Drosophila melanogaster: one gene and its partners. The protein of the gene in region 2 interacts with the protein of the main gene of each other region in a pairwise test. Each region holds a gene or a part of one and is shown on either strand. Other genes may lie near its edges. The genes, in order: CG4168, CG14442, CG5026 and RanBPM.

What was found.
Region 1: the proteins of CG14442 (region 2) and CG4168 interact in a two-hybrid assay, tested with the Drosophila melanogaster proteins (one large-scale study listed by BioGRID).
Region 3: the proteins of CG14442 (region 2) and CG5026 interact in a two-hybrid assay, tested with the Drosophila melanogaster proteins (one large-scale study listed by BioGRID).
Region 4: the proteins of CG14442 (region 2) and RanBPM interact in a two-hybrid assay, tested with the Drosophila melanogaster proteins (one large-scale study listed by BioGRID).

The regions. Positions count from the first base shown.
Region 1 is NT_033779.5:15,196,755-15,202,658, reverse strand, and holds the start of CG4168 (uncharacterized protein), read left to right. Parts: upstream 1-2,199; 5' UTR 2,200-2,585; intron 2,586-5,904. Other genes in the region: Sfp35C (seminal fluid protein 35C), read left to right, coding at 595-622, 676-837, 897-952.
Region 2 is NC_004354.4:6,688,473-6,697,525, reverse strand, and holds CG14442 (uncharacterized protein), read left to right. Parts: upstream 1-2,524; 5' UTR 2,525-3,569; coding exon 3,570-5,123; intron 5,124-5,412; coding exon of another isoform or gene 5,413-5,448; exon of another isoform or gene 5,449-5,453; intron 5,454-5,507; exon of another isoform or gene 5,508-5,844; intron 5,845-6,171; coding exon 6,172-7,722; 3' UTR 7,723-8,230; downstream 8,231-9,053. Other genes in the region: CG14440 (uncharacterized protein), read left to right, coding at 1-197; CG3184 (uncharacterized protein), read left to right, coding at 8,786-9,053.
Region 3 is NT_037436.4:8,966,282-8,973,154, reverse strand, and holds CG5026 (uncharacterized protein), read right to left. Parts: upstream 4,628-6,873; 5' UTR 4,241-4,627; coding exon 4,082-4,240; intron 3,979-4,081; coding exon 3,728-3,978; intron 3,658-3,727; coding exon 3,270-3,657; intron 3,208-3,269; coding exon 2,732-3,207; intron 2,673-2,731; coding exon 2,260-2,672; intron 2,207-2,259; coding exon 2,109-2,206; intron 2,053-2,108; coding exon 1,975-2,052; 3' UTR 1,403-1,974; downstream 1-1,402. Other genes in the region: pix (pixie), read left to right, coding at 1-470, 528-822; CG5021 (uncharacterized protein), read right to left, coding at 5,260-5,589, 5,639-5,873, 5,945-6,027, 6,163-6,186; CG5653 (uncharacterized protein), read left to right, coding at 6,793-6,873.
Region 4 is NT_033778.4:10,427,145-10,436,282, forward strand, and holds the start of RanBPM (Ran-binding protein M), read left to right. Parts: upstream 1-2,567; 5' UTR 2,568-2,639; intron 2,640-2,860; exon of another isoform or gene 2,861-2,929; intron 2,930-3,389; 5' UTR 3,390-3,441; coding exon 3,442-4,771; intron 4,772-5,894; coding exon 5,895-6,059; intron 6,060-6,127; coding exon of another isoform or gene 6,128-6,130; coding exon 6,131-6,321; intron 6,322-6,397; coding exon 6,398-6,579; intron 6,580-6,642; coding exon 6,643-6,755; intron 6,756-6,816; coding exon 6,817-6,968; intron 6,969-7,026; coding exon 7,027-7,229; intron 7,230-7,282; coding exon 7,283-7,446; intron 7,447-7,492; coding exon of another isoform or gene 7,493-7,501; coding exon 7,502-7,641; intron 7,642-7,773; coding exon 7,774-7,885; intron 7,886-7,941; coding exon 7,942-8,078; coding exon of another isoform or gene 8,079-8,579; 3' UTR 8,580-9,138. Other genes in the region: CG12896 (uncharacterized protein), read right to left, coding at 17-92, 156-530, 593-675. UniProt on the Drosophila melanogaster protein: May be involved in JAK/STAT signaling. Isoform D is required for the proper arrangement of niche cells and is autonomously required for proper niche cell size, isoform C negatively regulates the adhesive properties of the niche.

The DNA of each region.
Region 1 (5,904 bases), on a different chromosome or scaffold from region 2:
TTTTCTCATGAATTTTAAATCAAATCCATCTAAAGTATTTCCGTTGCTGTCCTCATAGTTGCACTCAGTGCTATAAAAATAAGATTACATTTTTTCTAAGTTTATCGAATCGATTGTAACTTCTTATATACCTCAATTTTATTTTCAGGTTGTGACTGAGCCGATTTTTTTTACGAAATCGACTCTAAGCATATCTACAATGAAAAATTGGCATGCTTAACAAATGTTTTTTGTGCAGCATTTTTTGAAAACGTATATTACTATGAAGCAGAATCCAATTGTTGTGGTCTTACAAAGAAAATTAAATAATTATTATTTTACATATTTTACCTTAATGAGTTTAGTTAACCCGAAAATTCTCAAGCTGAATGAATGAATTTAGTGGACTACCGGTTAGCTATTTCTTCTGACTAAAATAAGTTTAGAGTCAATCGCACATTCATTTTTAACATGTACTAAACGTATTATACCATCTCGTACAAAATTTAATTGGATTGTAATGCTTTTTTAACGCATTTAACCTTAACCAATATAACCAATAAAATGCAATGTACTTGAGACTGTTTAAGTCAGTTATAATCGGCTACTATCATTATGAAATTGTTTTTCTTAGTTATTCTGGGTAAGCTAAAGATTTTCTAAATATTTTGATCATTCTTATTGTTAATCAAACAGCCTGTATGCTAATCGGAATTGCATGGGGAGAAAACTGCAATAAGCCGTGCGGAAAATGCATCTTGCCCACCTGCAATTATGATGGCAAATGTTACTTTGAGGGAACTAGCGCTTGTGCTCTGGAAAATGAAAAGTGCCGACGAAAGAAGAATAATCTTGACCGTGAGCTTTATGTTTGAAATGTTTTTTACCCGATTTTAACTTCTTTTAAATGTATTTAGAATTCGTAAAAACCGTGTCTGGGTTCTGTGAGATGGGCGTTAAAATGTGTAAATAGCCAAATAAAATGTTTTCAATTGAATTATATAAATTAAATATATTTCTTTTAAGAAATAAATAGTTCAAAAATAGTTCAATTGCTGTTTGTCCACTATTTTGATGTTTATTTCATTTGGGAGTTTTAAAAAGGGTATATGATATGATTTTTAACCATAACTTAGTTTCGCCTTAATGAAATAATCTACTGCTAGTGCTACAAGTCCAATTGCTCCGTAGTTTGACCGATGAAAACCTCAAGAAGACAAATATGAGGAACATTTTACTTTGCCACTCAAGCCCCAGAAAAGCAAACCCAAACGAAACGAAACGAAGCGAACCAAACCGAGCCACCCAACTATGAAAAATTTAAACTTTGCATCCAAGCCATTTATTCATCCTGCTTGGCATCTGCCATCATATCTTAGCATGCGGTTCTGGCTTCGTCCGGAGTTCTCTGCCCCCATTTTGCATCTTAAAGCCTCCATCTTTATATCTTTAACCATCTCTATGCTCTTCGGTTCTTGGGCAGTTTGGGGTGCACCTTAAAAATTAATTGAAACATCACTACCGGCTAATATTGTAGATTAAAAACAGCAAAAGGAGCTGTGCTGGGTAAGAGGACCGAAATGGGCCGCACCTAGATGAGGCATATAAAACTTTTGGGGTTAACTGAGTGCTCTAAAAACGGTCAGAAACTTGCAAATTGCCAGTATGCTTGGCCATTTATCAGTCTTAGTTGTGGGTTAGTTGGAAAGAATGTTCCACAATAAATTCGAACAACAAATTTGGCTTCTTCTGGAGTTTATTAGCTGGCCGCCGGAATTTTGCGGTCAAAGGGCGACCTGAACTTGAATCTGGCCGGTCGGTCGCCCATCTCCCGCACCTCACCCCCACCATCCACCTATTGTACATCCATCTTCGTCTTTGCCCCCATCAAGTCACTGTCCAGTTTAGAATTTCTTTGAATACTCCGCCTGATGACAGAGCATTGCCAGATAGCATACTAATTCCGGCTCAGTCACTGCGCATGCCCAGATGCTCCGGTAATCGTGGGTCTTCGGGCTTTGGGGCTCTCGCACCAGCGGCATGGGTCGTGTCAACTGACTTCGGGGGCTTCGGTTTTTGGGTCTGTTGCGCCTAGGACAACAATTTCCGTGTTGCATGCCTCGCCTTCGGGTGATCTAAAAACGAAGCGAGTGTCGAGGTCGCCAACGTGCCATAAAATGCGCATAATGTGGCACGGATGTGCCAGTCCACGTTGGTAATTTGGCGCGTGAGCATCGCCGATTATCATTTTTGCCACAAGTGGCAGCCCGTATAGTGATGTTGCTGGTGCAACGGCAACATTTCGTACCTCTAGCCGGCTAGATAAAATCGCGAAATGGTGACCACAAATAGATAGGCTTTGATAGCCGCGAAGCATTAACCAGAGATCGTATCGGTCGAGGGAGATCCGGCAGTGCTTATGATACCAAAAGTAATCAAGCGGTGATTGCAAAGTGAAGTGATCAGTAATCAAAACTCAAGTGGCACGAAAGCAGAAAGAGCAAACGAAGGAGAGAAAAGTAGCCTAGGCACATGCAACAACTGGATACGGATACGCTTTTCAAGCCCTGAACAGCCGCCGACCTACGAACCCACCCACAAGTCAAGTACGTAACAGATTGATGAGCAAGTCGCCGTCGCTGTCTCAAAGAACCACCCACTCACTTGGCCCCCCCACATCATCATCCTCATCCACCTCCTCCTCCTCCAACTCCCAGCCACTCACTCGACCAGGCACTTGACTAAAAGTTCAATTTCCTGCAAGATGCTTTAATTGAAGCGCACAGTAAACAAGAAACAGAAGCGGAGAAACAGAAAACAGAGTGGGCAAGGGTCACTCGTCGCCTTGGGTGCCTTCGCTCTGGTCAGTCATTAGTCATTTGCTCATTTCCGCAAACGCAGCCCGGATGTGCAGCACTTGTCAGTCAATAAACAACCTCGACGGGGGGTGGATGATGGGTGGTGGACGGATGATGGGTGGCGATCCACCCACTCTCCCAATTAAATGTGGCAAACGTATCAGCGTCAATCACCGATTCTGATGGCCAGGCCAGTGCATCCTGCCGCTTCACTGGCGTTTCCACAGATCGGCTGAGGCATCGGGAAAATGTCTCGGGCTATTTACATTGCCGTCCAAGGGATTGGATGCAATTTCGATTGGTTCATGGATCAGGTTGGACTTGCTTAAGGTTTTAATTTAACAAGCAAATGTTGGGTACCATACACTTGCAATGATAGTTTGTTTTATTGAGAGCTATTGATAAACTAACAGCTGTTTGACAAACAACTAAAATAACAGCTGAGAGTTAGTCGAAATGTCTGTAGATTTGGCAAATAAAATATATAAACACATGTGTGGTTTTTAACAATTTTAGATCAATTTTAGTTTGGTTGCAAATTTGGTTCCCAAAAATTATCGCCATTTATATGTAGCAAACAATAGGAAACTACGTATATACAAATGAAATATAAATGTTCATACAAAGATTTTTTTCGAAGGAAGGATTAAAAGACAAAGTATAAGTGTTTTAAACTTTTCTCAACCACTACATTTTTTGGATCTGTGTCTTTGGTCTTTAAGATGATGGAAAGAAAAAGTGGAACGCGCAGAAAAATCTGGAGGTGTAGTGTTGCAGTGGCAGTGGCAGAGTGGGTGAGTGGGCGTCGGTGGGTGGCAGGGGGAGTGGCGACTGCATATGTGTCACACATTGAGTTTCTTGGACAACAATAACCAAGACGGACAGGAGCAGGGTGCATCGCAAAAACGGTGCATAGGTGCTAAAAAAAAAGAAACAACGAGGAGCAACAATGGAACGGAGGTGGGGAAATATGGGGAATGTTGGGGGGAGTACGCAAGCTAACCCAGTTTTTTTTCGACGCTGGTTCTTCACAGCTCAGTTTTGTTTTGGGCCTCCTCTTTTTTTTTATTTTGTCTACTGCTGCTTGGTACATTTCTTTTTATGGCTTTTACGAACTGGCCGCAAAACGACGACGACGAATAACCAACTTCACTGACAGCAGAAGAAACGAAAATATTTCGACCAAAAACTGCCAGACTTGTCCAAAGCCACCCACCACCCACCACCCACCAACCCATCCCACTGGATGAAACCTGTTTTGTAATTGTTGTGTTTTTATTCCGAGTATGCGTGTTGATGCGGATTTCTTTGGCTTTCCCAGCGCCTTCTGGGCTCTAGCTTCTTGCCTGGGCCATTGTCACGTAAATCTGTGACAGAAATTAGCCTCGTTGACAAAAATATGCCTGCTTACACATTATTTGTACAAACAAATAGACGGGCAACAGTTAATGGGCGTGGAGAGTGTCGTCCTCGTGGTGCCTCTGGGTTCCATGGGCACCGTTCCATGGGGTTCTTGGGTTCTTCTGACGGGGGTGTTGCAGATACATGGGTCTGGAGAAATTTGCATGGGAACTGCGCCAGTTGACGCTGTTATTTCTTGGCCTCTTTTGGGCGAATTCCTCAGCTAGTTTTGTGGCTGTCGTCCTGTCGGCTTTTCTTCTTCGCCTTGTTTTATTGATCTGTTTATGCTTTAGGACCTCTGGCCCTACACTTCCCCCCCATCACAGCAATCTCTGTCAAACCCTCATCATGGATAAACAAACAAAAAAAGTTTTATTTGTGGACTACTGAAAATGCAAAATAAAAAAAAAGAAAACAAAAAGCAAGGGATGCGGGGACCGCAAATGTGCTTTTTCGGGGCAAAGTTGTGCCTAGGCTAATGACCAGACAGGCGTGAAGGCAATCATAAACTGCGTACATTTCATCCTCCCACACTTCGCACTCGAAGTTAATTTTCCTTGACCAGAGTCTAGCCAGGTTGGAAAGTTTACTCTAGCTCTTAATCAACTCATTATAATGAACAGAGAAATAAAATATCCATAACATGCCGTCGATTAAATTATTTGGTTGCCTTACGGCACTTTTGCTGATTGACTTTATGGAGTTTTGGTCTGATTTTTTCCAATAAAATGTAATGAGATTAATAAATCAAATTGTTGCACATAAACGATTAATGCTATAAAAATGTATGCATGTATTTAATTATACCGCTTACTTTTAGAGTTAAGGGTATACAACATTCGTTGAAAAGTTTGTATCAGTTAGAAGGATGAGTTTTCGACCCTATATTTTTTGAACATTGATATTAAGAATGCAGATTCTAGAAACGGCGAGATTGTGCATCTTACCCACTCTAACGCTGAGTACAGGGTATCAGATAGCCGAGGAAATCGACTCTCTTTTTTTTATTATTTGTCTTGTCAATTTCTACCGGCATGCCAAACCATTTTGGCCAAGCTCCTTTTGAAATACAAGCCTGAGTCGAATGTTTTCAATAGGATTTATATTTCTTGTAATCATATAAAATTATTTTATTACAGACAGAGGGAAAAATAATTTTCCGAGATTGTGCATCTTACCCACTCTAACGCTGAGTACAGGGTATCAGATAGCCGAGGAAATCGACTCTCTTTTTTTTATTATTTGTCTTGTCAATTTCTACCGGCATGCCAAACCATTTTGGCCAAGCTCCTTTTGAAATACAAGCCTGAGTCGAATGTTTTCAATAGGATTTATATTTCTTGTAATCATATAAAATTATTTTATTACAGACAGAGGGAAAAATAATTTTCCGAACTTAAGCCTTGGCCTAGAAAGTTAAAGTTGAAAGTCAAATAACGGACAATTTTTGACGTCTACAATATCCTTTCGAACCCGGACCCCTAATTACCTGAACCTAACCTTAGACACACAAAATACAGAGTCAATCTATCATGCGATGGGTGTTCTCCTGATTAACACGAAACTTTGCCCAGGCCGAGCAACAAAATGATTGATGTCCACTACAAAATTTTCAATGTACATATCTACCCCCAGAAAATCGTTCACTTATTCAGGCTAGAATTCA
Region 2 (9,053 bases):
GCCAGAACGAAACGGAAGTACAAAGAACCCTAAGACTGATGAAGAATGCAGCGCGGCAGCGACTGCGCCGCGCCTCGGAAACCGTCGAGGAGCGTAAGAAGCGGCTGGCCAAGGCCGCCGAACGGATGCGAATCGCCCGGGCCAGTGCGCCCAAGGTCATCAAGCCGCCGCTGGCCGACAGGCTAAAGGGTTACTAATGGAGGATCGTATAATCGGTTAGCCTGGATTCAGGCAAATACGCCCATTTGGAGCTGGCTCTCCGGCAGAGCAGCTTGGCCGAGCAGCCCTAAAAGCTGGCCAGGATCGGCAGAGGAACACAGACACATCTACAAATTATATATATATATAAACATATATATATATTGTATACAGCCTATAAGAAAAAAGTTTGAGATAAGGAAACCAGTCCGAAACCAGAAGGATTCTTGAGGACTTGCAAATGAATGGGCAGCAGGCACTCTAGGATTAAAGCCAGGCAATTTTTTTTTTTAAGTTAAAAATTAACAAGATGAAGTAACGTAATGTAATCATAAAGTAAAGTATTTTTATAATGCATGCATTATATTCGTACGATATGTATACACACACGACACAAAAACCAATCACACACACACAGACACACACACACCCCCAACCCCCACACACACATGCACTAGCATAGTCATTGCCACACATATAGAGCCCCCAAAAAAGGGCAGTAATATCCCCCACTCCCCCAGGAAAAAGGAAGCTTACAGCGCCAGGGTGCCTCACTGTAAATAAAAAAAAAAAAAAAACGGAGGGAAAATCGCCAACGACTGGAGGTACACCTCCCAAGCTTAACAAAAAGAAACCCGAAAAACTAAATATTAAAATAATTACTGAGCATCGCGGATGGACGAGGCAACAAGTGCCTTTCGAGGAAATCCTCGGGCGAAACTTGCTATAACATTCAAAAATCGTATTTTTCCACAACAACTGAGGCACCCTAGTGACGAACAACCCCCATATGTGTGTGTAAGTTGGTAAAGGCATGTAACCCAAAACGGACAGCGCCACTCACATAAGGATAATATACACACACTCGGCAGCTCCCACATAAATATATGTATATATACAAATTTATATATATATATATATATATATACATATATAGTTGGAGCATACACACATGATCCGTAGCCAGGCACATAACGCAATATTTGTTAAAGCACGCAATCCTTCCTCCCTTCCCCAGCCAACATCCAACCGCCCACTTTTCCTAGACCTTATCCTTATCCATATCCTCAGCCTCTTCCCACGCCCATGTCCTTCCGCGCGGGCCCACATGATATATACATGATATATATTTATATATACATATATATACATATGTATATATATATATTATGCTAATTATTATTAATAAAGTGTAACCATTAAGTTCTAGTCGAAATTTCAAATTGTTTTTCTCCTGTCTAAATACGTTTATCAATTGTTTTTTGCCTTAAGACATAAGATTGAGATACATTTTTGTGTATTGTAATATTCGTGTACACTAACAATGACAACACACAACAAGAAAAATCAACAAACAAAACACAACACCAAGAAAGTGAAAACAGAAACAGAAAAATATAAGCGAAAAAAAACGAGAATAACAAAATGAATATACTTGAATAAAGTTGCATTCACAATTTTTAAATGCTGCGTTCTGAGCTTTGGTGGGAATTTAATAGGGAATAGTGATAATCTAAAAAAAAGTAAAAGCGTTATCAACCGGAAATGATCAGGAATGGTTGATAATAACACTACAATTTTGAAAATTTCCTTCAAATCTGACAGAATGTCCTCGATGAACCTGAAGGGTGGGTCCCATTCTCAGGATCGCCATCCGTATGCTTGTTGTACATTTAAGTATCACAGCAATTAAACAAATTAAAAACTCCCATCTAAAATACATTTAAATATAAAATATAAATAATTTACAAACTCCATTCAGCACATGCTACTGAACTAATCCTATTATATATACGATTATCTACGATTATCAACGAAATGCTCTTATTGGAAATAATATAGTTTCTAATTTTATATAAATAGTTTAATTCACTTTTATAAATCGCATTTATTCATTTCAAAAAGATTTGAAAGCTTTGGAATGTTAATGCCCTGTTAACATAACATAACATAGTTGATTGTTATGTAAAGTAAGCTTTAAAACAGTGTGGCCAAGAGGCGAAAATTTGTTACAATTGAAATAGAATTATCCATGTCTTGACGTTACGCTTGATTTTTAAAAAATCGATTTCAAACATCAAGCTATCGACAAGCTGATCTAACTATAACATTAAGTATGGAAAAATAGTACATATATTCTGTAATATGGTACTGCAAAACTGCAGCCAAATAATAATATAAATATTATCTGCCTGCAAGACTAATTTCCAAATTGTAAAATAAACCCGGGCGATATTTCAAGCGGAACATCGGTTAATCAGTTGCATTTTCCAATGAATCGACAGCCTGCTCAACTATCGATGTATCGATACTTTTTACCATCCCTACTGTGAACAGAACGATTGTTGAAATGAAAACAACTGAAATAAGATGAATTAAATTAAATTAAAGATACAGTACCACGGATTGCGAACAAGTACGCATACTTCAAGTTAATGACATTACGGTGCGATCGGAAGTGGCAGATATACGCTGGTCCCAGCTATGTGGAAAATTCCCGGTAGTTAAGTTAACGCTGCGCCGCCACAGAACATCCTTTTAACCCACCAAGAGAAAAGGCGCCTGGATGCACCGCAGCACGGCGAATAAATGGAATTACAAATCAAAGGGTTAAGGTTTGTGCAAAAAGCAAAATAAGGAGCGGAAAAAAACTCGCACACACGTACGTTGCGTATTGCTTCGTTGCGCGTGTGTGTGTGTGTGTTTAGCAGTGCGTGCTTGTGTGTGCGGACGGCGGCTGCATGGGTGTGTGTGTATAATCATGTGAAAAATCGATTGGCAGCGCAGAAGCAGCGCGGCGGCGGCGCCAATTGTCACTGACTCGCAAGAAGAAGCACGCTTTTATGAAAACGCACGAAAAATTGTAATGGCCAAATACGAACGGTAATAAAGTGCATAATGCTAAAAATGGAGAAGAAGAATACCGCTCATAGCCAAAAAGGGAACGAAAGAAATGCCCGAGGACCACAATAACAATAGCGGAGTGATCGCCGCAAAAATAGAGTGCGAGAGAGAAACGGCGCCAGCACACACATATTCTTTATATAACTACTAGTAAGCAAAAAGCGAAACAAAACAAACACAAAGAGGAAACGCCAAGGAGCAGCGGACGAAAAAAAGAGCGGGAGACGGCCCAGAGCGTGCGAAAGAGAGGGGGCGAGCAAGAGCGCGGCCCCTAGATGTTATCGAAACAATCGGAAGGACTGCGCTCATCCTTTCGATAACCAAATACCCATCGTCTATATACACATATATAGATATATATCTATAAATATATATATAAATATATATATATACATAACAAACAGTACACTTTTGGAGCCCCGATAGACGACAATTTCGATTGTTGTTGCCCCGGCTTTTGACCAAGAATGGAACCAGATCCCAATGGGATAAAAATAGAGCCCTCACTTGATCAGCAGCAGTACGCCACCCATGTGCTGGCCATCAATGGCTCCAATGCCCGCCTGCTCATCGAGCATCCCTCAGCTTTGTTGGTACCACTCTCCTCGCATCACCAGCTGCAATTGCAACAGCAGCAACAACAGCAGCAGCACGTACAGCAGCAACATCAACAACAGCAGCAGCAGCATCAGCAACAACAGCAACAGTTCCAGCAGCAACATCTTCACCAGCAGCAACAGGATCAACTGCAGTTCCAGCAACAGCATCTCCAGCTTTATGCACCACTGAAGCAACAGCAATTGCAGCAGCAGCAATCGCAGCAGCCACCCACTCCATTGGGACCCACCAGCAGTGCCAGTTCCGCATCCATAACAGGTGCCTCCACCACTGGCCACCAGCAGAGGTGGAACGAGAGCCCCGAGGCACGCCAGCGCCGTCTGGCCAGAAATGCTGAAAGGATGCGGGAACGCCGGCAGCGCGAGAGCGAGGAGGAGTATCGCAAGCGACTACTCCGGAATGCAGAAGCCAATCGCCAGAGACGCCAGAATGAATCCGACATAGAGCGGGCCATGCGGCTAGTGAGGAATGCGGCCAGGCAACGGCTACGCCGGGCCATGGAGTCGCCGGACCAGAGGGCCAAACGGCTGGCCAAATTGGCCGAAAGGATGCGCATGTATCGCGCCAGCGAGACGAACGATCAGCGAAAGCTCCGGCTGGCAGAAATGGCGGCAAGGGCGCGCCAAAGGATCGCCAATGAGTCACCGGAGGAGCGGAAGGAAAGACTGAGAAAGCTGAACGATTATGCCAAAAAGGTCAGAGAAAAGAAGAAGGTACTGAAGCATGTTGTGGTGCACGGTGGTTCGTCGTCGGTGGTCGTCTCAACGCCGACATCCTCCTCGTCGTCAACGGACCAGCAGCACCACCACCAGCAGCAGCAGCAGCAACAGCAGCAACAACAGCAGCAGCAACAACAGCAGCAGGTGCTGGCTGTTGCAGCAGCAGCCGCAGCAGCGGCGGCAGCCAATTGTACTAACGAACACACTATCAATCTAAACCAGGCGACCACCACAGCGACGACGACGACAACGGACGAGGCAGGCACCCCGCAGCCCGCGGAGGATCAGCAGCATCTGGTGACAGCAGCCGCCTATCAGCAACACCAGGCCCTGGCCGGAGTGGAGTATATGGGACAGGGCATGTTTCTGGCGCCCGGCTCCCTACGTCCACCCATGCAACTGAAGCAGGAGCCACAGACGCCGCAGCAGCAGCAGATTACACAGCAGCAGCTGCAGCAGCAGCATCAGCGATACACCATCACCGGACAGCAGCAGCAACAGGTTACGGCTGCTCTGCTCGAGGGCACCGAGCCGGGCAGCATCTTTGTGCAGCAGATCTATGGCGATGAGGGTGGCAAGGGCACCGCAAAGCTGCTCCAGGCCCATGTGCCGCACTTCAGCATCGCCGGTGGCCAGCTGGAACTCTACCCGCACAAATATGCTGCCAAGAAGCAGGAACTTCAGGTGCGTATGCAGTAGGCGTAGTAGATAGCAAGAATGATCGGCGATAGCAACTAAATCACGCACACACACACAAAGTAACGCAGCAAAACTAAAGTTTGGCATCCTCCAGGAACCTCATCTTGCCCATGAATCCATCAATGTAATTTGTTATCTAGAAACACTATTTATTTGAAATCTAATCGGTATTAGAAAAAAAGGGCACTATCTACTTCCAGTAAACGTAAAATCAAAACATGATTAGCCTAATTTAGCTTGATTCCTGAATAATAACAATAAATGATTTTTACAGTTGCAGAGGAATTTGGAATCGAATACAAATTCGTAGCGCTGGTAAAATATCAAACAATTGCCAATACTCGTAAATTTCAAATATTTTCCTTGCAGTTGGCGAAATCAACTGCCTCAAAGGAAAATGCTTGAAACCGGAAAGTAGGAATTTTGAAAATATATAGAATTCAATGGAAATTGGCAGAAGAAGCGGCCAATGGACCTCTCTTTTTTTTTGCGCGTTGCCTTACCCGCATTTTAACTCCTCTTTTGATCAAAAGCGAAAATCGTATAAGTTTATTTCAGTTAACATTATTGTTCGTTGTTCATATTACTTGTGTTAGTTCTTTTTTTTGGTCAGAAGCAAATGAATTAATCAATCGTATAGAGTGTAGATATATGTAGCAATGTAAATCTTGAACCTAAGAACAAAATACTTTTACCAACCAGAAACAAACAAAAAGTGGTTTTAATTCCCTTGTACAGGTGTGCGTTCGTGTGTGTGTGTGTGTGTGTCCTCCATCTATCCCTTTCGCTCTATCACTCGCACTCGGTTCTTTTCGAAAACCAATCTATAAGACCACCTTCAATCACATCAATCAATCTTATCACTCAAATTACGAAATTAGGTTGCAATGATTTGTAAAATTCAATTACCGAAGATTGCTGTGATTGCGAAGATTAAGATTTATACCAGAATTCCAAACCGATAGTCCCATAACCCGCAGAATCAAACCGACTCACCCGTTGGCTTGCCAATCCCTTCTATCCCTTCTTGCAGTCGGACAACGATGCTACGGTATCAGCGGGCGGCAATGATAACAGCGGGTCTGTTAGCCTCGGCCACAACGAGACCAAGGTGATCGTGACGACGGCCAGCGGGGAACAGAAGCTGCTTAAGGCGACGCCCGGCCAGGCGCAGCAGCTGTATAATCAATTCCCCTACCTGGCCACCTTCCCTAACACCACCAGCAGCGGCAACAGCACCACCAGTACCACCAATGTCGGACACGTGGGCGTGGTAACGGCGGGTACAACAACGGGCGCCGGCGGTACAACCACCACCGCCTACTATCCAATGTACCACAATGGCTTCCAGATTGGCATCGGGCCGAATGCAGTGCCGCCGCCGTTTACGCCCGTCAACTTTGCCAACGCCAGTGGTGGCAATAGTCCCGGACAGTATAACATACTGGCGGCGAATCCAACGCTAACGGTCACTGGATTGGGACAGCAGGAGCAACAACAGACAGGCGCGTCGTCGGCGGCGGCGCCACAAATTGTGACCACACCTGTTGGCAGGGGCAGGCCGCGAAAGAATCCGTTGCCCAGCGAGGAGCAGCTAAAGGTGAACAGTCTGCTGGAGCAGGAGCTCAATCAGATGCTGTCCGCACCGCAGCTGGCCACCAGTACGCCGCGTCGCGGCAGGCCACTGTCGCAGGCATCGCAGCAACATCATCAGGAGCTCAGCCAGATTCATGTACATTCCACGGCCGATGGCGACAGTCGAACGCCAGTGTTGACGCCGCGACGCAGCGGTGCTAACAAATACGAGACGGAGGAGGAGAAGCGAATACGTTTGGACAAGATGGCCGCACACCAGCGAGCGGTGCGTGCCAATGAGACGCCCGAGCAGCGGGCCACGCGTCTACAGAAGCTGAGCGAACGGGCACGACTGAAGCGGGCCCAGATCCGAGCCACCGAGAATACGGACGAGCGCAAGGAGCGACTGTCCAAGCAGGCGGAATATGCGCGAATGCGACGCATGCGCAGCCACACGCCGCGCAGCAGCAGCGCCACCAGCACCGAGTTCCGTGCCAAAACCGAGGAAGAAGATGAGTGCCAGGACGATGACACCAGTGCCGAGCATCATATGTACGAAAGTGAAGCCGTTTCGGTCACTGGCACGGGCAGTGATGGTGGCTTCGTTTCGGTGGTGAAGGCCGACAACGACGATTCACCATTGGGCGGTGGCGATGGCTCCAACGATCACGAACAGTTGCCGGCGCTGCAATTGCAGCAGCATGAGCTGCAGCAGATTGCCGGCAGCCTTCAGCAGCAACATTTGGTGCCGCATCCGCATCACGAGGCGATTGTGTTGAACCAGCAGCACCGCCTGGTGACCATCAGTCAGCACCAGCAGCAGCAGCTCCATCAGCAGCAGCATCCTGGCTTCAGTAAACTGCAGACGGTCAAGGATTATGCAAATGCAGCCGGCGGTGGAGGCGGAGGAGGAGCTGCTGGTTCTGGCGGCGGCAGTGGAACGGGAGCACCCGAAAACAATGACATGCTAAAGATACTCGAGCCAATCATTGTGATGAAGACCAAATGAGGTTCGCGGAGGCGTCACAGTCGCAGCACCAATCGCTAGAAGGGATATGTGTGGATGACGTGCTAGCCAGGCCTCCATTTCCGCCGGAATATCAGGCGTTGGACGCACAAACGATGGAGATATCTGCGAACAGTAGGGATTGTCTATAGTTATCAATAAGCGTATATTTTTTTTTAATCTGTTTTTTAAAGTGTTAATGTACTTCAATGGTAGATTTTGTAAAAAGTCAGAGTAAGCGGAGATCAAGGATCAAGTGCAATACGGATGCCTGGCAGGCACAAAAGTCCACCGGAAACCCAGAAAGCTAAATGAAATGAAACACTGTGACGCCCCGAAAGCCACTGAAAATCGAAGAAATGCAGCTAAAATAAAAAGATAACTACGATCGATGGTGGAGATCCAACTAAACCTAATCCAGAATATGTAGCGCGTAAACAGAGCACTAAGTAGTTGTATGTATTAACTATTAATTTTTTAAATTAGCAAAAAAAAAGCAAAAAAAAAACCCAAAATAACAAATAAATCTAATAAGATCGAAACAAAACGGTCAATGGCAGCGGTGTATGGGATGTATGTGTGGTCAGCCAGTGGCTATCGGTTATCGATAGCAAATGCAGAGGCGAACGTGTTTTTGCATGTTGCACGTCTGGCGCGCACATGACGCGCATGACGCGCACCACATCCGCTGGAAATTTTTTCCAAAGGCAGCCTTTCTTTCTTTCTATTCCTACTCATTACGGTAGTGGTTGTCAGCGTGCAGGTGATGGAAAAGCTCTGGAGGATCTGTATAAAAATCATAATTAACTTTTTAAAAATGTGTTCATATTTTTTCACATTTTTATTGGTTTGGCAATTTTCTATTGATTTGCAAAAAATCTGTTTTCCACTCCTAGATTATTCTTCGTTTTACTGTTTGTCTTGCAGATTTTTATCAGTAGAAGCCCAAAATAACAAATAAATCTAATAAGAACAAAACAACACGGTCGATTGGCAGCGATGTATGGGACAGATGGTCAGCTAGTGGCTATCGGTTATCGATTGCTGATAACATCTTTTCATAAACATGTTTACAACGCTCCACAGCGAGGATACGGAATATTCGGCAGATTCTGTGGAGTGGCTGACACACGATGATGCGGCAACGGGTTTCTTTGCCTGCGGCACCTATCAGTTGGTCCAGGAGGAGGACGAGCCGGCGGCGGAGACTTCAGCCAAGCGTCCACGCAAGGGTCGCGTTTATTTATACCAGTTTGAAGAGGAAAACTGCCGCCTGGAGCGGCTACAGTGCATCGAAACGTCTGCCATTCTCGACATGAAGTGGCTGCCGGCCT
Region 3 (6,873 bases), on a different chromosome or scaffold from region 2:
TATCCCGCCATGGTCAAGACCCTGGGCAAGTTCGAGTTGACGGTGGAAAAGGGTCACTTCAGCGACTCCGAGATCCTGGTGCTCCTGGGCGAGAACGGTACAGGAAAGACGACGTTCATTCGCATGCTGGCCGGTAACCTCCAACCCGATGGCGAGGTGGAACTGCCTATGCTGAATATTTCCTACAAGCCCCAGAAGATTTCCCCGAAATTCCAAAATCATGTTCGCCATTTATTGCACGATAAGATTCGTGACGCCTACGTGCATCCTCAGTTTATTGCCGATGTTATGAAACCCATGAAAATTGAGGAAATCATGGACCAGGAGGTGCAGAACCTTTCCGGTGGTGAGTTGCAGCGAGTCGCCTTGGTCCTGTGTCTTGGCAAGCCAGCGGATGTCTACCTCATCGACGAACCCTCTGCCTACTTGGATTCAGAGCAGCGTCTGGTGGCCGCCAAGGTTATCAAACGGTATGTTTTACATAGACTTTAAATCTGCACACAAATATTGATGGTATCTCGTTTTAGTTACATTCTGCACGCCAAGAAAACTGGATTTGTGGTGGAGCACGATTTCATCATGGCCACCTACCTCGCCGACCGTGTCATCGTGATCGAGGGTCAGCCTTCAGTGAAGACGACAGCCTTTTCGCCGCAGTCGCTGCTAAATGGCATGAACCGCTTCCTCGAACTGCTTGGTATTACGTTCCGTCGCGATCCCAACAACTTCAGACCCCGCATTAACAAAAACAATTCGGTCAAGGACACAGAACAGAAACGCTCCGGCCAGTTCTTCTTCTTGGAGGACGAAGCCTGCAACTAAGACAGGATCACGGGCAACTTCGATGGGACAGCTCGTTTCTCTATGTTCTCCTCAGCTTTCCTTCGTTCATTTTGCATTCTTTCGTTGAAGAACACATTTGCTTTCAAATTAATTTGTTATTGTTGTCGAGGATTGCGTACAATCGAAAATTGGGGATTAATTGTACTTGATTAAAGTGAGTTTTATATACGTTTTTACAGCGAAATAAATAGTGAACCGAAACAACAGAATGTTGTTTTAAATGAGTCTAGCAAAAATAAACCAATTTTCTTTATACAAAACTGCATTTGAAAGTTCTTTTTTCTAAAGTGGTGCTCATAGAATCCTGCGAGTTTAAAAGAGCTAACGTTTGCAAATTAACACGTATTTATTGCACTTAAGCGATAATTACTCAAAATACGCACAATACAAATGTAAATTACATACAAATTTCTGTCATTTCAAATTTGATCACAATACGAAATCGACGCACAATGAATAACAGCTACAAACATTTATAAGTATATAATTTACAATATTTGTTTTTAGATATACCAACGCATGCACAGCATATTTTTAATGTAAACGCTTTTGAAGCTTTAAATTTATGCGATTTAATCAAATTTACATACAATTTTTCGAAAAAGGCAAATCTTTTGAGTTTATAATACTTAATTTGATCTGTGGCTTGTTGACCACTAAATAACTGACACAAGTAAGTACTATAAATAGGTAATTTTGGAGACTTATACGCTAAAAATTCCATAAAAGTAAATGCGTCAAAAATTGACCCAAATATTTGATAGTTGCATTGTGCTGTTTCGAATCCCAATCTGAGTCTGAGAGTAGAGAGCGTTTTACAAGGAGAGTTTTCTTACTGTTTTGCCGAACTTATGCAATAGAAGTATAGTTAGTAAAAATGGACACATGTATGTCTAAAATTGAGTGTTTCAGTTGATCCAAAAGCAGATCCTATGGTTTATCCAATAATTTAATTACCTTGTTTATTTTCTTTTTCCTTCAGCATAATTTCTTGTAAATGGAACTTTTAGTGACTTAACATTAGTTTTGCTATGTGCTTAAATAATTGTCGAAATCTTGCAACAGAACGTATCAAAAATAAGTGTATATCATGCAGGAGATTAAAAGATAGAGAACATTTGAGGTAGCCGACTATGTATCGTTTCCACTTTTCATGAGGTTGGACACTTCCTGGCCGAGCTCCATGGCTTGTTTGCGCAACTTGAGGGCCTGAAAGATACATGTCATCAGTAAGCATTTCGCTATCAATACTCAAGTGGACTTACCTGAGTCCTGAGTTCCTTCTCGCGGGTGACAAGTTCCTGAATTTGCGACATGACTGTGACTGAGCTGCGTTGATCTATCACCCACCGCAAATAGAGATCTAAAATGCATGTTTGATGAGTAATGTTTCATATATTAAGTTCTTAAACATACCACTCCACAGCTCTAAGCTTATGGGCGCCACCGATGGCCATATCACATTGGCATTAGGCTCGTACAGCGGATTCAAGAATGTCTGAAGGACATCAGGCCGGTTCAAATAAGACCACAGGCTCGTCGTCCTGGTGTGCACATTCAGTTCGTTTCTCTCCCGCTCTGAATCGCACAGGAAAGTTCCATACTGCGAAAAGTGACTGTGCTCAAATAGAAGGATCAGCAGTTGAGTGCTGAATTCAAAGCTGCAGGGGAACTGCGTGTAAAGCTGATAAATGCAATCCAGAAATAGGACGAAGGTGGCACCAGAGGTCTTATTGCGTGTCTGATTTGGTGTATAGCATGAGTAGCGATGACGCGAGGCGAACGGATGTCCCGCCTGGATCCACTCGCGCTCTATCAAAGCCTGCAGGCTGCAAAGGGAACACGGCATAAATATCTTTTTCAAGGTAAGGAGAATATGATTACTTACCCCCTTACAGTCCGGCAGTCCGGATTGAGAATGATCTGCACCAGTGAGGTGACTATAAGCGTGGAGTCCAACCCCTTAGCACCGTGCACTAACACTGGACTTCCCTCTTGGTCCAGGCATTGGGCCACCACACAGGAGGCGTTCAGTGAGTTCAGCACAAGACTAAGCCAGCCGCTGTTCTCCAGTCGCGATAGCCATTTATCAGTACTGCATCCCAAATCGTTGCAAGCTTCGATAAGCCGAGCAAAGCTGTCCAAAATAGAGGCGGGCGAACTGACGTTTCCAATTGAACGATTTACCTTCTTCCACTGCGAGTAGTGCAGGTCAGTTTCCGTATTCGATTTGCCCTTACCCCAAGTGTCCACGATGAACCCCTTCCGACTGCGACCCAGCACCAGATTAAGGATAGCCTCGTCAGCTCTACAGCGCTTGATGCCCTGAATGGACAGCGGCTGGGAGCTGCGCATTAGTGTGGCCTGCAAATATGAATCATTGAATTAATTTAATAAAATTTGATGATGTAGATGCAATGACTTACGCCATTTTCATGCCTGTAGCTGAGCACGGGGAAGCGGCCGCCATCGCGGAACGCAGCGGAGAGCACTATCTGCTCGTCCGTAATTGCTTTAGGTACAATTAGCGTGGCGCCATATGTGGCACAGACGCTGAAGTCTCTGTTGACGTTGGTGATGCGCCACTCGCAGGAGGCCTGGGGACTTTGAAGCGCACCACCTCCCACACCACCAACACCACACGCAAGGGCTTCTATCGCATAGCCATTTTGCAGAGGATGGGGAATGCCGGCGCCCACAGTCAACGTCGATGTCGAAGTTGATGGCATGCAAATTGTTATGTTGGCCACATTCGGCGAGGACGCACCGCCCATGCCAACCCCGCTTATGAGTTTGGCGAACTCCAGCTCGGGCCTGTCGTTTGGATGGGGAGGTTAATTGAATTGTAGCCAATTTGTTAGTTATGGAGAAGCCGTGTACCCACCTAAACATCGTGTAGCCGTCCTCTAGGATCGAGTACATGGGCCGGTAGAAGAATGGATAGAGCAGTTCGGTGTTCTGGATGGCACTGAGTGCCTCCAGCGATGCGGCCACGTTGAAGAACTCCTTGCCGCACTTTATCTCCAACGAAATGATGCGCAGGTCCTTGCACTTCAGGGTGATAATCCCACCGACCACGATATTCTGCGACAAACTAGGCTTCTTCTCCACACAGTCGATGTTCTTGTGGAGCAACTGAAAAGAGGGGGATGAGCATGATGAATTTCTAATTCAATTATGAGCGCTCCACTGATGCCGAAGCACATCGGATTAGGTGGGCAGGCCTCAACCCACTTACCCATAGCTCCTGGCTGGTTTCCTGGCGGGCGCTGAGCAGCAAATGGTGCCCTGTGATGCACAGTGTGCCAACTGTTGCACCCGACGCCCCCGCATTCGATGGGTCGTGCAGCAGGACACCGTCCAGCTTGGGGGTCTTTATAAGGTCGGCGAATTCCATGGTGTCGCCCTCGGCGGGGTGTCCGATTTGATTTGGCCCCCACTAATTAACTTTTTGCATTTTGCCCCGGCTATCTCCTGTTGCCACTTGATTGCTTCTGTCGACGCCGCCTTCCACCTCCGCCCTTCTTCGCCACGGTTATCCCGCCTTTCGAGTCCCCTTTTTTGAACCCACAGCAGTGCGTACGTCACCGGTTCTGGCGGGGATTTGGCGGACTTACGGCACTGCTGCTCTGCAGCTAACAATGAAACTCGTTCCGGGCTGCAAAAACTTTTGTTCCACGCCCCCGCTTACGGCACAGATTGCATTTCTTTCTTTCTTTTCGATTCCGTTTCCGACCGACTGTTCTGTTTTGTGCTTTGTGCCAGTGTGCCCGTCGCTCACTGAGCCGGAAAGCTTTGTTGTGGCGTCCACTACCACACTGCGTTTTGCCTATGAACCGTTATTGCCACTAACAAAGAACTAAAAAATTATCAGGTTTTTTAATATGTAAAAATATTTTTAAATTGTTTTGCAATTTCATTTAGTTTAGTTTTGCAGGAATGATTATATTTACGCTTCATTTTTAAATATATGTTTACGACAGTTTCATATATGAAACTAAAATGACAAAAAAGAAAATAAACTAAATAATTTATAGTAATCTAACAGTAATGAAAATTATTTGCTTCACGTCTTTCGTACTCAGATTAAGATGCAGAGAATAAAAATAAAACACATTTCGCTATATCTGAATCCCTTTTAATAACTATTCTTAAATTTGTAGTTAAACCATTCGAAATAAAACCATGTGGCATACTGGTTGCATGTCACACGCACATGCGGTCCTTTAATCCGAGTAAAAGTAAGAAATGATTATGGTAGATTGCAGTATGGCTAAATTAAGTTTTACATATGGTACACAGACAGCGATGCCAATCGAAGGTCGTGGTCCGCGCCAGAAGAAGCGTCGAATACTCTTTGGAATGCGCTGCAGCAGACGGTGGCAAGGTGACTTAGTAGATGGCGTCTCCACCAGCTCAAACGACTCCCGTCGGGCGTACATTTGTTGGCGGTGGGGCGCCACTGGGCCTTGTCATGATGTCCACGGCATTCTTGAAGAACTGCGTTTTCACAAAGTCTGTGGCGGCGGAATTCAGATCCTTATTGGCACCATAGTTACACTTGACGTAGCCATACAGATTGGCGGCATTCAGCGCAATGGCGATCATTACCAGCAGTAGCCATTTGAACTTCAGGCCGAATAGGGCGAACAGGAAGAAGAGGCCCCAGAAGACGGGACAGAGGATGAGTCCCAGCCAGAAGATGCGCTGCTCGTTCTTGTTGACCCGACTCTGGTAGGATTCAGACTGCGTTTCATTATCAAGGGCAATCTAGTTAGCTATGCTCGTGACTCACGTTCTTTGACTCAAACACCCAGTGCGATACGCCATCGTCGTCGACGTAGTTCCACCAGCGGAGACCGACCAGCAATCTGCCCGAGATGTTCTTCACCGTCCAGAAGTCGGCGGACAGGAAGAGCACCACGAAAACGAAGCTGGTGATGAAGGAGTCGCTGAACCAACCGCAGAACATATAGATCAGGATGGCGGCGCCCCTGAAGAACAGGTGGAAGAAGGTGACGTACGGGTGCCTGTGGAGTACACGCGTTGGGTTGGGTTGGGGTAAATGGAATTGATCAACAAACATTATGGTTCTGCATACGTGTATTTCTGACCCGCGCGACTGGGATCCCGCATCTCGTCCTCCTCGCCAAAGGGTATCGTGTCATCGTCGAGCAGCGGCACCTGTGTAACACGTATGTGGGATTAGTTTGGCTTGCCTCGTTGTAAAATATGAGTTTTCGTGGAAAACCTCGGATCGTATTGTCAGAATGGCACCCCAATCAAGCAGCTTGTTAGGTGTTAGTGCGGCATACATACATTTCTTACCGTAGCGGATGCCATGCTGGTGTAGGGAGTGACTTCTAATTCCTAGTTGGGTGCAATTTTCATGGATTTTCGTGGTTTTTCAGGGGATTTAATATATTTTCTTCGCCTGGGACGTTGTTGTTGTTTCTGCCTGCGTAGCCTTCTATCGTTTTCGCACTGAGTCGATAGCTCGCAGGGGTGAAGCACTTCTTCGACTTCGATTGGGTTGGCAGCACCATAAGTAATCGAGCTTAAACCTATCGTATTTGAAAATTTTGCAAACATTTTTTATTGAGCTCCCCTTCATTTTGTTTGTGGAATTGTTATTTGCAATAGCAGCGCCAAATGAGAAAAAAATGCCACTTTTAAGTTATTTATGAAACATAATTTTTTACGCATCATATTAAGTAATAAAAGCCGAAGCAATATTATCTAAGACGACTTTTATGTTCTGTGACCCGGATTCTCAATGTTACATGGTTGTGGCTGAAAACCAGCAGAGTGTGCAAAAAGTTGTACTCCAACCGCAGTGGAAGCCATTGAAATGCAGCATCCATCACTTGCCAAGTTAGCCCACAAACTTCATCAGTAGCTCGTTGATCGTCTGCTCTTTCTGTCGAACTTAACTACCAACGTTTCAAAATGGAAAAATGCCGTGCCTCCTCTAGGATAATCATAATCGGAGCAGGAGTTTCGGGCATAGCCGCCGCCACTCGACTCCTG
Region 4 (9,138 bases), on a different chromosome or scaffold from region 2:
GGGTAGAAAAACTTACGGTCCAGTTGGCGGGAGTGGCCACCACCTTGAGGCGATCAGTCAGCTGCAGGGAGTCAATGGTCCTCAGAATCTCGCTGTAAGATTACAGGATCGTCAGTTGAGATTAACAATAGTTGTAGCCAGAAAGAGGTACTTACTCAACGTTGCGACCAGTGGACATGGGGTAAAACATGGAGAGGCGCACCTTATGGTCCGGACTGATGATGAACAGGGCGCGGATGGTCTTACCCACCTCGGGATCCTTCTTCTGCTCCTCGTCGAGCATGCCCAGGGTGACGGCCAGGTCGCGAGTAGGGTCGGCGATGATCGGGTAGGGGAAGTCCCCGGGAATGTCCAGGCAATAGCTCTTGATGTCGTTCACCCAGTCCACGTGCGAGTTCAATGCGTCAACGGAATGCGCCAGGCACTTGGTGTTCCGCTTGGCAAACTCCGGCTGGTGCACCGCAATCCTGCCCAGCTCAGTGGTGCAGACGGGAGTGAAGTCGGCGGGGTGAGAGAAGAGCACCACCCAGCTGGCGATCCGAAGGAGAATTGGTAAGATTCGATCAGAGAAAAAGGGTTTGATGGCACTTACGAGTTGCCCTGCCACTCGTGGAATTTAATGGGCCCCTTGGTTGTGTCGGCCTCGAAGTTAGGTACGGTCTGTCCCAAACGCATCTTGCTGTTTGATTTTTAGTTTCACTTGGAAAAAAACTTGTTAGTTGCTCAGCTGGTAGCTGTTATTAGCTCGCACACTTGTTGCTTACTGAATACTGACTGGGAGAGCTCGCTGTCTTTTATACCCGACTGGATCAATTTGATGAAAGGGGACCGATAGAGACAGAGAACGGGAGCTGGCTTATCGTATCATATATGTACATATGTATGTTTGTATGTATAGTACGTGGTGCTGCGGGTAGACTAACAAACAACTCAGTGATAATTGGGGACATTGTGAGGGGAAAGATGAGGCCTCGTACGGGGTCTCCATATTTGTGTGAACCTCAAGAGGGGCCTTAAAAAAACCTGTTTGGGGCGTCACACAAAAATGGACTCTGTGACGAACACATTTTAGATGTAACGCAAAATGAAGTACAGTTTCGCATATTTCTTTTAATTTAAACTTGTTCGAATAAATCAATCAGTCCAGAACCAATTCCTTCAGGATCTAGTATCAAAACAGCTGATTTGATGCAGTTGACGGTTTTGCCGGCTCCAAACATAAACAGAGAGCGAGAGCGCATTTAAATGTTAAATGGTGTTGGTAAACAGAGGCGAAGCACCAACACCTGCAAACATACAGCCACGCCGATAGGCGGATATTGAGAGCGAGAGAGCGGCGAGCAACGTGATGGTATTTGTGAGTGCCTGCAAAAATCGCACACTTCCATAGATCGCACGGCTCTCCCGTTCACGTACAGAAAACGAGCCTCTAATTGAAAGTGAAGAGCGAGTGAAATCGTGAGACTGTGTGCGTGGGTCTATCGAAAATTAGCACACCAGCATAGGTTTTCTCTCAGTAAGTCACACATAAAGATGGAATGGATTTGGGAAGTCGGATGGGCAGATCGCTCATTCAGAAGGCAAAAGACAGTACGCATGAAAGCAGCCCAAATAGGAATCATATGGTTAAAATTCAATATCTAGTCATAATGGATACCAAAAATGCAACAATTGATAAGTTTAATTAGAAGAGTTCCCTCCCAGTAGCTCGATCGTGTTTCATAAGTTACAAGTACAGTTTTTGTGCTAGTGTATAAAGTCTAATCAAGAATCCAGCAACATTCGTCTCTACACCAGACGTGTGGTAATTTTCCACTGTTTATTATCAGTTACGTGATAGGATTTCTATTCGGAAAGGAAGTAACTAAAATACAGAGTGAAGGTTGAGGCGAAACGAACAAGAACGATTAGAAGAGTGAGATAGAAAGTGTCAAAGCATTTGAGAGAAGCCGTAGAGCGAACCGGTAAATTCTGCAGCATCGATAGTCTGTCAATCGAATCGAATCTTTTGAATTTATGGCGGTTTTTTTTACCAGTGCAGCGATCTCTTAATTACATTCTGGGCAGAGTACTAGAAATCACTAAAGTTTTTTGCGCTGATGCATTTTTAAATCTGGTTTCAATGTAAAACGCGTATGTTTGACATTCGTCATACTTTTATACCATAGGCAGAAGTTTCTAAGTAATAATTGCCCTTAATATTCTTATCGGTATGGCGTAAAGTATGCGCTAAAAATAGATAATATGATCTTTTTTTATAATTTAAACCAATATTTAAAAGATTAAATTAGCATTAAAAAACATAACGAATTACGTAAGGTTTAATTTTACCCAAAAAATAAGATTGCTAGCAATAGTGCAATAATACCCTCCAAAAGTATTGTCAAGGGTTTTACCTAAAAACATTTTAAGATTTTAATGGCACTTTGGGAAGTGTGTTACTGCTTATCAAATTTTGAATTTAGGCGCCTAAAGAGATTTATTCGATAAGAATAATCGATAGCTGCCGAGCGCACTCTGATGTTGTCAGGTGTCGGAATAGATATCGATATCATCGAATGAACATCGGCTTTTGTTCCAGCTCTATAGCATAAAGTCAAAACTTCGTAGATTTAACAACTCATAGCAATCGTTTGAAGGTAAATATAAGGAAATATCAACTGTAGATCCGATCAACAGCATAGAATGACAGCCAAATCGAATTCATCAGCTAAATAAAACCCCAACAAAGATCATTTGCCCCAGCTAAAAAAAAATGATAATTTTCTTCTCTGCGTGTGGGAGCTGCGAGTGTGTGTGCTTGCTGCATGCATATATGCGTGTGTGCGAGAGGGAGAGAGTGCTGCCAGTGTGTGAGCTGGTGCTTGTTTGTGTGTGTGTGGACAGTGACTCGTTGGTTAGAAGGGAAAACAAAGAAAACTTCAGAAAAGTACGACGTAAAAAGGCATTTACAAATGTAGAATAATCAAAACTGACTTGCTAGCAATGTTAAAAAGTGCAGAAAGCATTGGCTAATATCGTTTGGCTATTGATTTTTTGCATTTTCGTGCATGCAATTTTGTAGCTGTAGTTGTTGCTGTTGTATTTTTTTGTGCTGCAGCTGCGCGTCGCAACTGTAAACTGCTGTTGCTGTTGTTGTTTGTATTTTGGGTCAGTTAACGAAAGAGAGTGCACGAGTGATTGAGAGAGTGCGAATGAGGTGAACGGTGTAACGGACAAAGGACATTGCATTTTGGAAGTTGTTTGTGTTTGCTAGCCTCCTTACCCCTCCCTTCGTCACTCCTCACGTATACACACACAGCATCTGCATATGCACTTCATCCGCTCTCTCTTGCTCGCTCGTTGCTGGCTCACTCTCTCTAATTCCTCGCTGAACGTCTCTCTCTCAGCCTCCTTTTGCAACCACAACAAGATAAACAACAACGACAACTCAACCATAACATGGAGAACGTCGAAGAGGCCCCGCCACTCTCTTCGGAGAGCAACAGCAATAGCAACAACAGCAGCGCCAGCAGCAGCTCTCACCAGCTCTCTCAATCGGGAGCCATGGGTGCCGAAATAGCCCCCTCTACGTCTCGGTCACACTCTCATTCGCCCACACCCTCGCCGCCCGTCCCCGCGTCCTCTCACGACCAACCCCATCCCGATCACCCTAGTCCCCCATTGAATGCATCTGAAACGGAAGCTCGCGAGAATTCACCACATGATCACTCACCCACTCCTACTTTCCACCAGACTGCACCGCCACCCACGACTTCATCGACGGCACCGCAGCGGGACGAGCGGGAGCAGCAGCAGCAGCAAGAGGCGCCACCATTGCAGCAGGATCAGCAGGAGAATTCGCCCGCGCAGGACCAGGAGCTGCACCCATTGCTGGATCAACAGAATCAAGAATATCCCGCAGTGCACCAAGATCAACAAGCGGAGCAAAACCAGGAGCTGCATCACATAGAGGGGCTTATTCGGCACCGAGAATCACAGAATCCGGAAGAGCATCCACCACAAGCATCGCTGGAAAACCGGGAGACATTAGGACGAGAAGATACCAACCAAGAACCGGATGAGCCGCAAGTTCGAGATCCCGAAATCGAACCAGAAGCCGAGCCACCGCCACCGCTGCTTCTCGAAGATCTGGACGAGCAGGACTCCGGATCGCAGGATCTTAACGAACAGCAGCCGCCACTGATTATAGACGCAAACGCTATAGCCGAGACCATAGACGCCAACGCCGTGGAGCGCATCGACGACTACGAAGACGACGACGAGGAGGTGGATGAAGAGGAGGAGGTGGTAGAGGACCGGGTCGACAGAGCCGGCGAAGTCGCTTCCGTTTCCGGTGCCCAGCGCCTGCACTCGGTGGCCGTTTTGCCGCGCTACTCCTCAGCCTCACGAGCCCCAAGGAGCAGCAACAATAACAACAACAATATCAGCAATCACAACAACAATAATAACAACAGCAACAGTAACAGCCTCTCGCGACGCACTCGTCACTTCTACAGCAACAACGGCAGTCACTTCAGCAACGACATGTTCCCCAGCCACAATCCCCGCAGCAGCACCCAGACATCATCGCCGCGGGTCGGTGGTCGCCGCCATCACTCGACCCCCGCCGCCAGCTCCAATTCGCCACAGCACCAGGGCGTGGATCCCCTAAGGCTGCTCTATCCCAATGTCAACGAGAGCGAGACTCCGCTGCCCAGGTGCTGGAGTCCCCATGACAAGTGCTTGTCCATCGGTTTGTCGCAGAACAACTTGAGGGTCACCTACAAGGGTGAGTAGGATTCGAACTTCTCTATAAATCAACTCTCCATTTCATACCATCTAAAATAGAAAGTAGGCAACGATCAGGCAACTATAAGATACAGATTTCTTAGGAGCTGTCATAGTTCAATTCTAAATCGGTTTCATATTGCCACTAATACGCACATTTCAATTTCGCAATGAAATGTAATAATTAAATATGCACTTACATAGATATAGTTACATAGATATGGAATAAATTGTAATAAGTTTGTCTACGCTGTAGCCAAGTATGAGTATCCAGGTGGTATAAGTGCCAGAGTTCATGGAGTTTATCTTTATTACAACGATTTGACTTTGTTCTTACATTTTCAAATTTGTATTGATCTAAAGCTAAAGAGACAGTATACAATATTTTAGCCCTTAAATCAAAACACCCGAATATAAGGCTAGCCCCTACTAAATTATTACTTGCATAGTTATTAATTGCATTATCGAAATTATTATTTATTCGAAATCCCATCCACAAAATCTAATATTTGTCTTGAAGGATGTAACTCAATGCAGTAGAAAGAAGAAGAGTCGTAGTGCAGCTGCAGTTTTCACTCTCTTTCGCTCTATCTCGCTCTGGCACACACACGCACAGGGCACAGACAGGTGCTCTCAGCTGTGCACTGGTGGTTTTTGTTTTTCATAACCCACTTCTCCCACGCTCATTCGCGTGGCTGTTAAACCGCTAACAGCAACAGCTGGCTTACCAGTGCGACATAACATGTAAAATGCGCGTAAAATGTATAAGTTATTACGTAGATGGTGCGTTGCATAGATGTAAAATGTATATTTAGGTTACTTTAATTTCAGGTAAAATATATAACTCAATAATTCGAAATATTTCATTTAAATTGATAAAATGTCTCATTATTGTTTCGACGTAGACTTAGGCCAAAAATCAGTTTTTTTATTTAGAGTATCAATTTTATTATTTTTATTGTCCAGATAACCAACTCATTCATTTATGTTAAGAACATATCCCATGTACTAAGTTCGAGAGTAGGAAGTTCATACCGAATGGATAAAAGAATATTGTCTTACTGCAATGCTATAGCATATAAAAATTGAGATCTGTCAAATACTGAAACCTCATGACTTTTTAGGTGTGGGCAAGCAGCACAGTGATGCCGCCTCAGTGCGCACTGCCTATCCGATCCCGTCCTCCTGCGGACTGTACTACTTCGAGGTGCGGATAATCTCCAAGGGACGCAACGGCTACATGGGCATTGGCCTAACTGCCCAGCAGTTCCGTATGAACCGCCTGCCAGGTTTGTGTTCCATTGTGCTGCTCGGCGAGATGTGCCCATGATTCCTAATAACCGCACCCCCCCTCAAGTAGGTTGGGACAAACAGTCGTACGGGTACCACGGCGACGATGGCAACTCGTTTAGCTCCTCGGGAAATGGCCAAACCTACGGCCCCACTTTTACCACCGGCGATGTGATTGGATGCTGCGTCAACTTTGTGAACAACACGTGCTTCTACACCAAGAACGGAGTGGATCTGGGCATCGCATTTAGGGATTTGCCGGTGCGTATTCAATGGAATTTTAAAACTACTTTATCTTCTAACTTTATGTTTGTTAATCTTTTTTTTTTTTGTTTAGACTAAGCTTTATCCCACTGTGGGCCTACAGACGCCTGGCGAGGAAGTGGATGCCAACTTTGGTCAGGAACCATTCAAGTTCGACAAGATCGTCGATATGATGAAGGAGATGCGCTCCAATGTGCTCCGCAAGATCGATCGATATCCACATCTGCTGGAGACCCCAGAAAACCTGATGAATCGGTGCGTTTTTGTTAAATGTGTTTAAAAATCATGGCTTAACCCAATGACTTCTAAATTGCTTAGCCTGGTTTCCACTTATTTGGTGCATAATGCGTTCAGCAAAACCGCCGAGGCCTTCAATGGCTACACAAATCAGACTTTCAACGAGGACTTGGCATCGATCAAGACACGTCAAAGTTCGTATATTTGCCATTTGAAATGACAACACACATGCCAACTTTAAATCCACTCTTCCAGAGATCATTAAGCTTATACTGACTGGCAAAATGAGCCAGGCCATCGAACATACACTACGTTCTTTCCCCGGACTCCTGGAAAATAATAAAAACCTCTGGTTCGCATTGAAGTGCCGCCAGTTCATTGAGATGATCAATGGAGCTGACATTGAGGTGGGTTTTTAAACATTACATGCGGAAGATAAGTAGAACCGGATGGTTTGTCTTACAGAACGTGAACAACAAAGTCACCGCCACCACACAGACCATGCCCACAAACCAGACGTCAGTGATACAGTCCACCAAGACGTTCAAGCACAGCAAGAGCGGCAGTGGAAATGGCAACGTCAACATAAATCAGACTCAACAACAGAACAACACTGCGATTCCAGCTGTGATAAAGCCACAAGGCGGCGATAGGCCAGATATAAAAAAGTAAGTCAAATGTAATACTTACTCCGATCTTTAATCACAACGTACTGTTCAAGCATGTTGGTTGACGACAACTCCAACAAGTGCGTGGAGCACGACAGCAACAGCATGGACGTAGAAATGGAGCCCTGCCAGAGTCACTCCAACGGCGGCGACTCGAGCTCCAATGGCAATGCCAGCGCAGTGCGCAACTCTCTAGATGCCATCGACGAGGAAATGGGTATGTATCTATTGGCGGCATTTCCGGGAAGATCCGTAATCCCTAGCACTTGCAGATGTAGATGTTTCCCCCTCATCGCGTAACTGTGGTCGTGTGATCGAGAAGATCCTTGAGTTCGGCAAGGAACTGTCCAGCATGGGCCAGCAGCTGGAGAAGGAGAACCTAATGACTGAAGAGGAGCGTCAAATGTTGGAGGTAAACTATAAAAATGTATAAACAATAGAAACTGGTATCTTGCAGACTAAGCACTCTTTGTATTTGAAAAATAACTTCAATAAGAATATGATTATCCGTAATCGAGAGATATTCAATTTATGGTTGTTACAGGATGCATTTAGTCTGATTGCCTACTCTAATCCTTGGTCCAGTCCGCTGGGCTGGTTGCTGTGTCCCTCGCGACGTGAGAGTGTTTCCACCACACTCAACTCGGCCATATTGGGTAAGTCTTTAAACACTTGTCTCGAAACGAAGTTACTAATTACTATGATTATGCAGAGTCCCTGAACTTCGAGCGTCGTCCGCCGCTGGAATACCTGGTGGCTCACGCCTCGGAGCTGATCAAGGTGATCGGACAGCACTCGCTGGGCGAGGACGCTTTCATTACCATCGACGATGTGTTCCCGCAAAATTGACCCAGTTCCCCGACGCTGCTGAAGATGTTCGAGACCACGCTGACCCTGCCGCGAACCAGTGTGCTTACGGAACCGTTGGGCAGCGCCGGAACCGGATCTGGGCCCTCCACATCAACGGCTGCCGTGGCAGTTCAGACCAGCAAACGACGCCGAAGGCGGCGTAACAAACGTCGCCGCAAATCCTCCCTGTCCAGCAATACCGATGCCCCGTCGTCGCGGACCTACGATCCCGTGATGACGGGCAGTACGCTCCGGTCGGCAGCTGTGGCATCGGTGGGCGGGGGCACGGGCACGGGACCAGTGCGTCGGGGTCGTCGCAGGAGCGGGGTCAGCTCATCTTCATCGGCGGCAGCGGCTGCAGCAGCGGCAGCGGAGGAGGAGGCGGAAGAAGCGGAAGCGGAGGCGGCTCGCCAGGAGGAGGAGGAAGCGGAAATCTTGAGCGGAAACAGCAGCCCATCGATGTTCGTCGATCCGCAGGACTTCTTCGAGACACTGGACTAAATTTAGATTATTTACAATTTGCAGTAGGTTAAATTTTGTTGTTACTTCCGTTCTCTTTCTTTTTTACCTGCGCAACCGGCTTCAGTGCGCCTATTTAAAACTAATCGCCGTTCTTTTAATTGTTCGATTATGCTAAAGATGCTATGCGTTTGGCGGCCTTTGATTTGGCGTGATTTTTAATAACTTTTAACATATATTTTATATAGCCTCTCTAAGCATAAAGTGTGTAATATTATGATGTATAATTAAATTTGCGAAATGTGCTGCGACACGACCCTTGAAATTGAATTAGCCCTTTGTTTTTCGCTTCCACCGCCCGAAACACAACAATCACACACCAAAATATAATCTAGAATTGATAGTGAAGGGACTAGCCTGGAGCAAAAGCTGTTCAATCATCTCCTTAGCATGTTAATATAGAACCGAATCCATAGTTAACTGGTAGACATTCGCGTTTTAATTCTCCGTGTTTTCAGCGATTTTCGATGGACTCCGCGCCATCCCGTGTCTTGTGGCAAGACTAAGCAAAAGCAAATGAACATTTTAAGTGTAATGTTTC